Canis lupus familiaris: one gene and its partner. The protein of the gene in region 1 interacts with the protein of each later gene in a biochemical or structural test. Links are inferred from orthologs where the notes say so. Each region holds a gene or a part of one and is shown on either strand. Other genes may lie near its edges. The genes, in order: CFLAR and DEDD2.

Evidence for each region.
Region 2: the proteins of CFLAR (region 1) and DEDD2 form a complex in vitro, tested with the Homo sapiens proteins (2 studies listed by BioGRID). The link is inferred for Canis lupus familiaris from reciprocal best matches to the Homo sapiens genes CFLAR and DEDD2.

The regions. Positions count from the first base shown.
Region 1 is NC_049258.1:10,161,189-10,164,995, forward strand, and holds part of CFLAR (CASP8 and FADD-like apoptosis regulator), read left to right. Parts: intron 1-1,406; coding exon 1,407-1,917; intron 1,918-3,604; coding exon 3,605-3,743; 3' UTR 3,744-3,807. UniProt on the Homo sapiens protein: Apoptosis regulator protein which may function as a crucial link between cell survival and cell death pathways in mammalian cells. Acts as an inhibitor of TNFRSF6 mediated apoptosis.
Region 2 is NC_049222.1:112,875,611-112,880,121, forward strand, and holds the start of DEDD2 (DNA-binding death effector domain-containing protein 2), read left to right. Parts: upstream 1-1,454; 5' UTR 1,455-1,612; exon of another isoform or gene 1,613-1,706; intron 1,707-1,730; exon of another isoform or gene 1,731-1,936; intron 1,937-2,226; 5' UTR 2,227-2,255; coding exon 2,256-2,583; intron 2,584-4,113; coding exon 4,114-4,239; intron 4,240-4,511. UniProt on the Homo sapiens protein: May play a critical role in death receptor-induced apoptosis and may target CASP8 and CASP10 to the nucleus. May regulate degradation of intermediate filaments during apoptosis.

The DNA of each region.
Region 1 (3,807 bases):
GAAGAGAAATCCAGAAAAGTTGGCTGGCTGAGAGTTCGAGTAATAATCTGAATTCGGAGATGCCTGTCTAGCTTAGGGCAGAACAGTTTTTTTTTGTTCCACAAATGAATTAAGAAGTGGAGGCATCCCTCAGACAAGGAACAGAAACTTAAAGGGTGGCTCAAAGGGATGTGGAATTTTTAAGGAGGAAGAGAAAGATGTCTGCCTCTGCTATTAGAAAGATGTGACAAAGCAGAAAACTATTTCTCTGATGAAGGCAAACTGAGCAGATGGGCAAGAAATGGACTGGGTAGGATTTCTATGGTTCCAAGGCTCTAGAAACTTCTAAGAGATGGATACAAGATTTTCTTTAAAAAAGGAATAGAGTCCCAGGAGCTTTATGTGTATTATCTCACTTAATCCTCACAGCATGCTCATAGGCTGAGTATCATCACCTCTATCACTTCCACCATCACGCCTCGGTGGCTCAGCAGTTGAGCATCTACCTTTGGCTCAGAGTGTGATCTTGGTACAGGGATCGAGTCCTGCATCAGGCTCCCTGCAAGGAGCCTACTTTTCCCTCTATCTCTCTGCTTCTCTCTCTGTGTGTCTCTTATGAATGAATGAATAAATAAATAAATAAATTCTTAAAAAAAAAAAAAGCTAGGGAGCCCTACTTCTTTGAGGTCATGCAGCCACAGGTATGTTTAAGGTCAGTGTTAGAAGGCAGGCTTGTGCACCCTAAAGTCTGCCTTTTCCACGCCCTAACACTGCTTTTCCAGGCAAAGCCAATCCAGAATTTCTGGAAACTAAGAGAAGAATTCTTGGGGGCATTACAGGGAATCTTGGTCAGAGGTTACACTGGGAAGTGGGTCATGAGAGCAACTGGGGAGTCTGGAAATAGTCACGCCTTGGATGGAGGTGCCCGCAGCTGTAGCAGCCCACAGCTGTGGGGATGAGGGGACTCGTGACCTGGGCCACCCTTCCTGCAGCCATTTGGATCTAGGTGCGGGTCTGCACTTTGCAAATGCATCCATTCCTCCTTACTTGTGTGTGAGTTTAAGAAAGAGCCTTTTGGAAAGTCCCCAGCTTTGTTTTGGTTGAAGAGAAAAAGTTTTGTTCCCCTGTTGGTTGCATTGGCCTAGAAGTAGGCTCCATCCATGCCTGTGGCCACGTGTGCTGGTGGCCTTGGGCAGGGAAGGTGGTATAATGGGGCGGATGGTAACTGAGATCCTGGGACATAAATGTGTTTCAGGTTGATTCCTTCCTGCCCCCTGCTCCGGTTCTTTGAAACCTCAAAATATGGCACAAAAGCAGAAACGGATAAGGAGCAGAGATCAGCCCGTGCTTAGGATTGCTATCCACTGCCTCTTAAGTGTTTCTCATCCTAGTGTTGTTTTCCCTGTGTGTTTGTTTATTTTATCCAGATTTTCTTCGGGACACCTTCACCTCCCTGGGCTACGAAGTCCAGTATTTCTTATATCTGAACGTGGACAGTATAATCCAGATTCTTCGCCAAGTTGCCCGCATGCCCCAACACCAAGACTACGACAGCTTTGTGTGTGTCCTGGTGAGCCGAGGTGGCTCCCAGAGTGTGTTTGGTGTGGATCATACAAACTCAGGGTTCCCTTTGGATCAGGTCAGGAGGATGTTCATGGGAGACGCATGCCCTTTTCTCTTAGGGAAGCCAAAGCTCTTCTTTATTCAGAACTATGTGGTGTCAGAAGGCCAGATGGACAGCAGCAGCTTCCTGGAGGTGGATGGACCAGAGGTAAACAATGTGGAATCCAAAGCCAAGCAGCCCGGGCCCTGCACCATTCACCGGGAAGCTGACTTCCTCTGGAGCCTGTGCAAGGCAGACGTGTCCCTTCTGGAACAGTCCTCTGGTTCTCCATCATTGTACCTGAAATGCCTTTCCCAGAAACTGGGGCAAGACAGGTGAGCCGCCTCGGTGGTGGCCCATCCTTGGACCACTCATCAATTCTCTTGCTACCAAGATGGAGTTTACCACTGTGATTACCACGTGGGGTGCTCTTCTCTTCAGGCAGAAAAGGATTTTTCATTCCCTGTTGGGATTGCCACAGGAGATACATGTTTTGGGAATGCTTTGTGCTTCGGGAGGTCACTTGCTAGTCAGCTTGTAGTTTGGATATTGGTCTTCAAAATAAAGAAATTTTTAATTGCCTTTTTTTTTAAATGACAAAAGCAGTACATATGCCTTATTGAAAAAACCCTATGAAATATACGTGCTGAACCCAGAACATAACAAACAGTTATAATCCTAGTTATTAGAACCAATCTCTGTTAGCCTTCCAGATCTTTTTTGGTGTTTTGCCTTCCAGATCTTTTTTTGGATACCTGCACAATCATATCTAAATGTTTTTTTTAAAAGATTTATTTGTTTGTTCATGAGAGACACACACACACATAGGCAGAGACACAGGCAGAGGGAGAAGCAGGATCCTCGCAGGGAGCCCGATGCAGGACTTGATCCTGGATCCCGGGATCACGCCCTCAGCTGAAGGCAGACGCTCAACCTCTGAGCCACCCAGGCGTCTCATATCTAAATGTTTTTTAAACCAAAATGGAATCATCATCCACTATTACTTTATAACCTGCTTTTAGTTGGTGTAACAGTATATCCCATATATTTTACATGTCAGTAGTCACATTTCTACAGCATCATCTTAATGTCTGTGGAGCAGTCCAGAATATGGCTATGGCATAATTTACTTGACCAATTTTCAGTCTTTGGAAGGCATTTTGCTTTCATACAAGGAAAGCATTCAATATCTCTGTAGCTCAGTATTTGTGCTCATCCGTACTGTTTTCTTGAGCAAAATTCCCAGAAGAAGTGCTGTGTCAAACAGCATACATTTGGAAAGGCTTGGATGTGTCTTATCAGATTGCCCTCTAGGACAGTTACACCCACTTTGCACGAGAGTGCCCATGTCCCCAAATTCTGCTCGACACTGCACGCTCTTTTATTGCCCTGTTTTGACAGTTTGATAGGTGGAAAATGGTACCTGACTCCCCACATCTGCAAGTCTGTGTTATACAGACATTTCTGATGTTTATTGGCAAGAATACTTTTCTAAGGGAAAGCTTGGTTATCTGGTTTTTATTTAAGATTATTTCCACATAAGATTAGCAGTCCTTTTTTCAGTTGTTCACTCGTTACAGTTTAGAATGATGTTTCTGAGCCATGTGTGAAATGCATTCTGTTGTAGTTCTGGGGACCCCAGATATATGTCTCATGACCTATGACCACCCAACCCCTTCAGTAGTGGTTCAGCAGCAAGGAATGGGCTATAGTAGAAATGACTCAGCCTTCCATGGGCCAGCAGTGTTCTTGGCATCCATCCTACATTTGCATTATGATCCAGGTAAGTTATCATCTGGCTGGAGTGTCCCCAGGATAAGATGCTGTTGCCCCTTGGGTGAAGGGACTGTGGTCATTGGGCAAGCTGATTTGGATCACTCACTCAGTAGCTTGTAGAGAGAATTTAAAAAGAAACAATTGTAAAGCACTTTCACATCTGTTGGCTCATTTCACCCTAATGACAATCTGTCTCCTCTTTGATATCTGCATGGCATTAATTTTTGCTTTTCTCATTCCCTCCAGAAGACGCCCACTCTTGGAACTCCACACTGAACTCAACAGCAGCGTGTATGATTGGAATAGCAGAGTGTCTGCTAAGGAGAGGTACTACGTCTGGCTGCAGCATACTCTGAGAAAGAAACTTATCCTCTCCTGTAAATGAATGGCCAAAAGCCTCTCTTAGCTTAGCTCTGTAGTCTTCATTACTAAACTTTCCTAACCAAACT
Region 2 (4,511 bases), on another chromosome or scaffold:
GCCAAAAATCAGAAAGTTAAGCGGTGAGAAGTGGGCATCGTTGGAGAGCCAGGGCCTATGGAGTGAATCGGGTGGCGGGAGACCTGGACAGAAGTGTTATTTCATAGAGGAAGAGGCCGAGCAGATGCTATGCTGAGAGCATAGCTTTGGAGCCAGACACACCTGGGGTACTTCTCTCAGGGCCTCACTTCTACATTTGCGTAAAACGGACCTGAATCACATCCACCTTAAATTAAAGGTTGTTGATTGAAATCAAACACGTAAAAGCGCTCAGCACAGGGCCTGATACACCGTAGATGCTCATTAGAGCCCATCTAACACGGACATAGTCCTTACCAGTTTGCAAAATTGCTTTCCTTTCCCACCCCCTCTTCAGTTGACTTAAGGATATTCACTTATCGGACGCCTACTGTGTGTCCGGCCCAGGACTAGGTTTTAATAGGTGACAGTTGCCATTAGAGAAAAGGACTCTTCTGAGGGCCCTGCTGCAGCCCAAGCCGACAGTGCTGAGCCAGTGCCAAGCAGGACCCAAGTCCCCTGCTTTCCAAAGGGAGATAATTTCAGGGGTGGGAACCACTCAGAGGAGAGGACTTGTTTCAAGGCACAGTGCGAGTCTCGACCTTGAGTCACCTAAGTGTGTGTGGGGGGGTGGGCCGTGGCCACCACGCCTAAGGCCCCACCTCAGGGGAGATGCTCAGACTTGCAGCCTAGACTCCAGTTGTCTTAATAGGGATCTACCCTCGCCAGAGTGCAGGTTAGAGAGGGGGCATTGGGAGGCCCCTTGATCTTTGAGGGCAGAGATTGGAAAGAGTCGTTGAGGGGGCGTTTGAGACAGGGAAAGGGTGTCTGACTGTAGTAAGGGACCGTGTTGGATGCCATCAGGAAGTGAGCAGTCGGGATGGAGGGGCCTATTGCAATCAGGAAGGAGGTATTGGTCTCTAACGTGAGATGGGAAAGCTTCCTAGCCTCGATGGGGGGGGGGGGGGGAGGTGTAGGAACTTAGTGATGGGGGCTTCGAAGAGAGATTCCAGTTGGGGTCATGAGATGGGCACAGCTGTGACGTAGGTTCCTGGTTGCCATTAGGGGTAAGGGCCAGTCTGATGGAGGAGCATTCAAGTCCGGATCATAAGGGGCCTGGGGGCTATGAGAAGCCCGGAAGGTGGCGATTGGGGTTCCTTGCATACAGGCAGCTGGAAGGAGCGGTTATGTGGGCGTCTAGGTCGTGCTTAGGATGGGGCTGTAGTCCCTGAGTTGGGTAGTTCCAACAGGGCTTGACGTGGGGCAACAGGGACCCAACCTTAAGTCACCGGCGGACAGAAGCAACCCTGCAACCAAGTACCAGTTCCAACTCAAGACGCGGAATCGCTCTCGTCTTGCGCAGGCGCAGCACTGGCGGGGCCCCGACGCTACGGTTGGGGGCGGGCCCGGAGGGGGTGGGGCTTGGAAGCTTCACTCTGCGCATGCGCCCAAGGGGCGTGGCGGTCGCACCTGCGCGAGTTGGGGGAAGGAGGAGGGGCGAGGTGACGCAGGCGTAATAATAGAGAAGGTGCCAGAAAGATCCAAAACAAGTGGCTGCGGCCGTCGCCCAGGAGTCGTCAGACGCCGGAATCTGGTGAGGATCCAGAGAGGCCTGAGGGCGACTGGTGGCGGGTAGACGGAGCCACCTGGGTGTTGGGGAGAGAGCGGTACCGCCCTAACAGAGCGAGGGGGTCGGGTTCGGGCAGCACCACCTGTGTGGGGTGAAGGGCTGCTTTGGTCGGCTCCATTGTGGGGGGCAGAGGGTCACTTTCGGACGGTACCATTTGGGTGGAGCCGCGGCGCTGATCGGACAATACCACAGGACGGAGCCAAGGGGCACGTCCGGACAGTGCTGCCCAGAGTCAAAGGGCGGTTGGCAGGGTGCCCCGGGATGGGCCCCCACACTTGTTCGGACCGGATCACTCGGTCGGATCCGGAGGCTGGTTCGGGACATACCACCTGGGGAGGGGTGTGCGGGCCGGGCGGGCCCTACTGGTGGGAGGACGAGCGGGGTCTAGCGTCTCGACCTGTTACTAGGGGACCTCGGGCGATACCATTCTTTTCTGGGGGGAGGCGGACGGCCGGGAAGGCTGGGGTGCGAAGGTGGCCCTGCCCGGCAGCACGGGGCTGGGGAGACGCGCTGGCGGGAGTAGGGCCCGGGTCCTCGCGTCGCTGACCACTGTCCCCTCCGCGCTGTGTGGGTTCTAGGCCCTGGTGCCACCCACCCTCCCCCTGATATGGCGCTGTCCGGGTTGACCCCGGCCCCGAGCTGGGAGGAGGATGAATGCCTGGACTACTACGGGATGCTGTCGCTTCACCGTATGTTCGAGGTGGTGGGCGGGCAGCTGACCGAGTGCGAGCTGGAGCTTCTGGCCTTCCTGCTCGACGAGGCCCCCGGCGCGGCCGGCGGTCTGGCCCGCGCCCGAAGCGGCCTGGAGCTGCTGCTGGAGCTGGAGCGCCGCGGACAGTGCGACGAGAGCAACCTTCGCCTGCTGGGGCAACTCCTGCGCGTCCTGGCGCGCCACGACCTGCTGCCGCACCTGGCGCGCAAGAGGCGCCGGCCAGGTATGGTTGAATGGGAGGGCGACAGACTTCCGGTAGGCCTGGGGCCTTGCCCTGGCTGGGCCTCCATGGTGGCCTGATAGGGACAGCACCATATCAGCCTGCTTCCCCACTCGCTCCTCCCCTTCGTCGAGAGTATCAATGAGGAACAGGACAGGGAGGAGACATGGCTTTGGGAGACACGAGCTTGTGGAATTTGGTCACATCTGTGACGTTTGTGGCCACTTTATGGAGGGCTTGTTTCATGCTGGGAACAGCGGTAAGCCCTTCATGTGAACTGTCGCCTTATATCCTCCCAGTAATCCTGTGGGGGTGGGGAGCCCTGTTAGTGTCTCCACCTTACAGGGAAAAGAACCGGGTTAAGAGAAGTTAAGCAGCTTGTACCCATGTAAGAACTGAATCCTATGTGCTGAGTACAGGAGGTACAGGGTGTTGGGACTGACAAAGTGTTTATTCCATGAAGCTTATGGTTAGTGGAGGGAAGCAGCCATCAAGGCAGATGGTTTATTTTTAGATAGGGTTATGGAAAGACTAAAGTAGAGTTATGGGAATGCAGAGAGTAGAGAGTGCCTTCTAGTGAAGGGAGCTCCCCTCAGATTGGATAACCAGTCCAAACCTTTCTGAGAAAGTGATGGAATGGAGGCTCTACTCCTGGTGTGCGTAGATCTCAGAGGAGAAAATGCCAGGCAGAGTGAAAGATAGGCTTTCAAGCCCTGAGTCAGTACTGAGTTTGGTATCATCAGAGACCAGTGTGGCAGGAGCAAAGGGGACTGACAAACGAAGAGCAGAGGGGGAGGTAAGAAACCACTTTATACAGGGGCTTGAAGATGACACAGGTAGAAAGTGTGGGAGTCAGGATTTAAACCTGGCTGGCTTGGCTCTGAGTTGATGCTCTTAATCCTGTGAGGGAAGTACTCCTGGAGGAGCAGTTCTGAGAAGGTGAGGAACCCAAGGGTTTAAGGGATAGAAGTCCTGTGTGTGCAGAGGCCCTGAACTGTTGAGCCCTTGGCTGGGTTATCAGGTGCAGTGGCTAGTTGCGGAGGGGGATTGCAAACTTCCCCTGCCCATAGAAAGTCCACGGGAACTGGATAACCAGGAGAAGGGCATCACTAGAGGAGAGCCAACAGTGCATTTAGAAAAATATATGCGGAGGTCGGGCTACGGAAGAGGGAATTTGGGGAGCCTGCTTACTTCTTGGGGCTTCAGGGAGCATTGGGGGCAATTGGCGGTGGGGGGCCACATTGCAGGGATCCTGGCCATGACTCGACTTACAGAATCCAGCCCTGACAATTGGAAGCTGCTATAAACATGGGTTGGATAGCCCCAGAAGGTCACGGGTCTCATCTCTCATTGTAGGCATGTAGCAACCACTGGGCAGGAAGCATTTGAGAGGGAGCGGCTGTCTGGGCTCTGACTTCTGGGGAACTCAGGCACCTAGTGGGGCAGGAGTCCATCTCCAGGTGGGAATGGGAGCCTGGGTCGGGGAGGGGTTGGAGGCTGTGAATATTTCTTTCCGTTTTTCTCTCTCTGAAGTGTCTCCAGAACGCTACAACTATGGCACCTCCTCTGGCTCTTCTTCTAAAAGGACTGAAGGTAGCCGTCGTCGCCGTCGCCAGTCCAGTGGTACCTCAGAGGTTCAGCAGGGTCAGTGGGAGACAGGTGAGCCTTGAGAGCTGGGTGTGATGGCAGCGTCCCTTTCTTCCTCCTGAATCCTGGTGAACCCGCTCCATCCCGACCCATCAAGGAAGGGGCCCGAGGGGGTCATTACGTCTCCACATTGCTTTTTGCGTGGTGTTTATTCTACAAAAGCATGTGTCCAGAAGCAACGTATGGAATTGTTTGTTGTGGTTTTATGGTGCATCTGAATGACATCACATGGTGGGTGTTCATATGGCTGACTTTGCTGGACGTGTTTCTGAGATTTATTTATG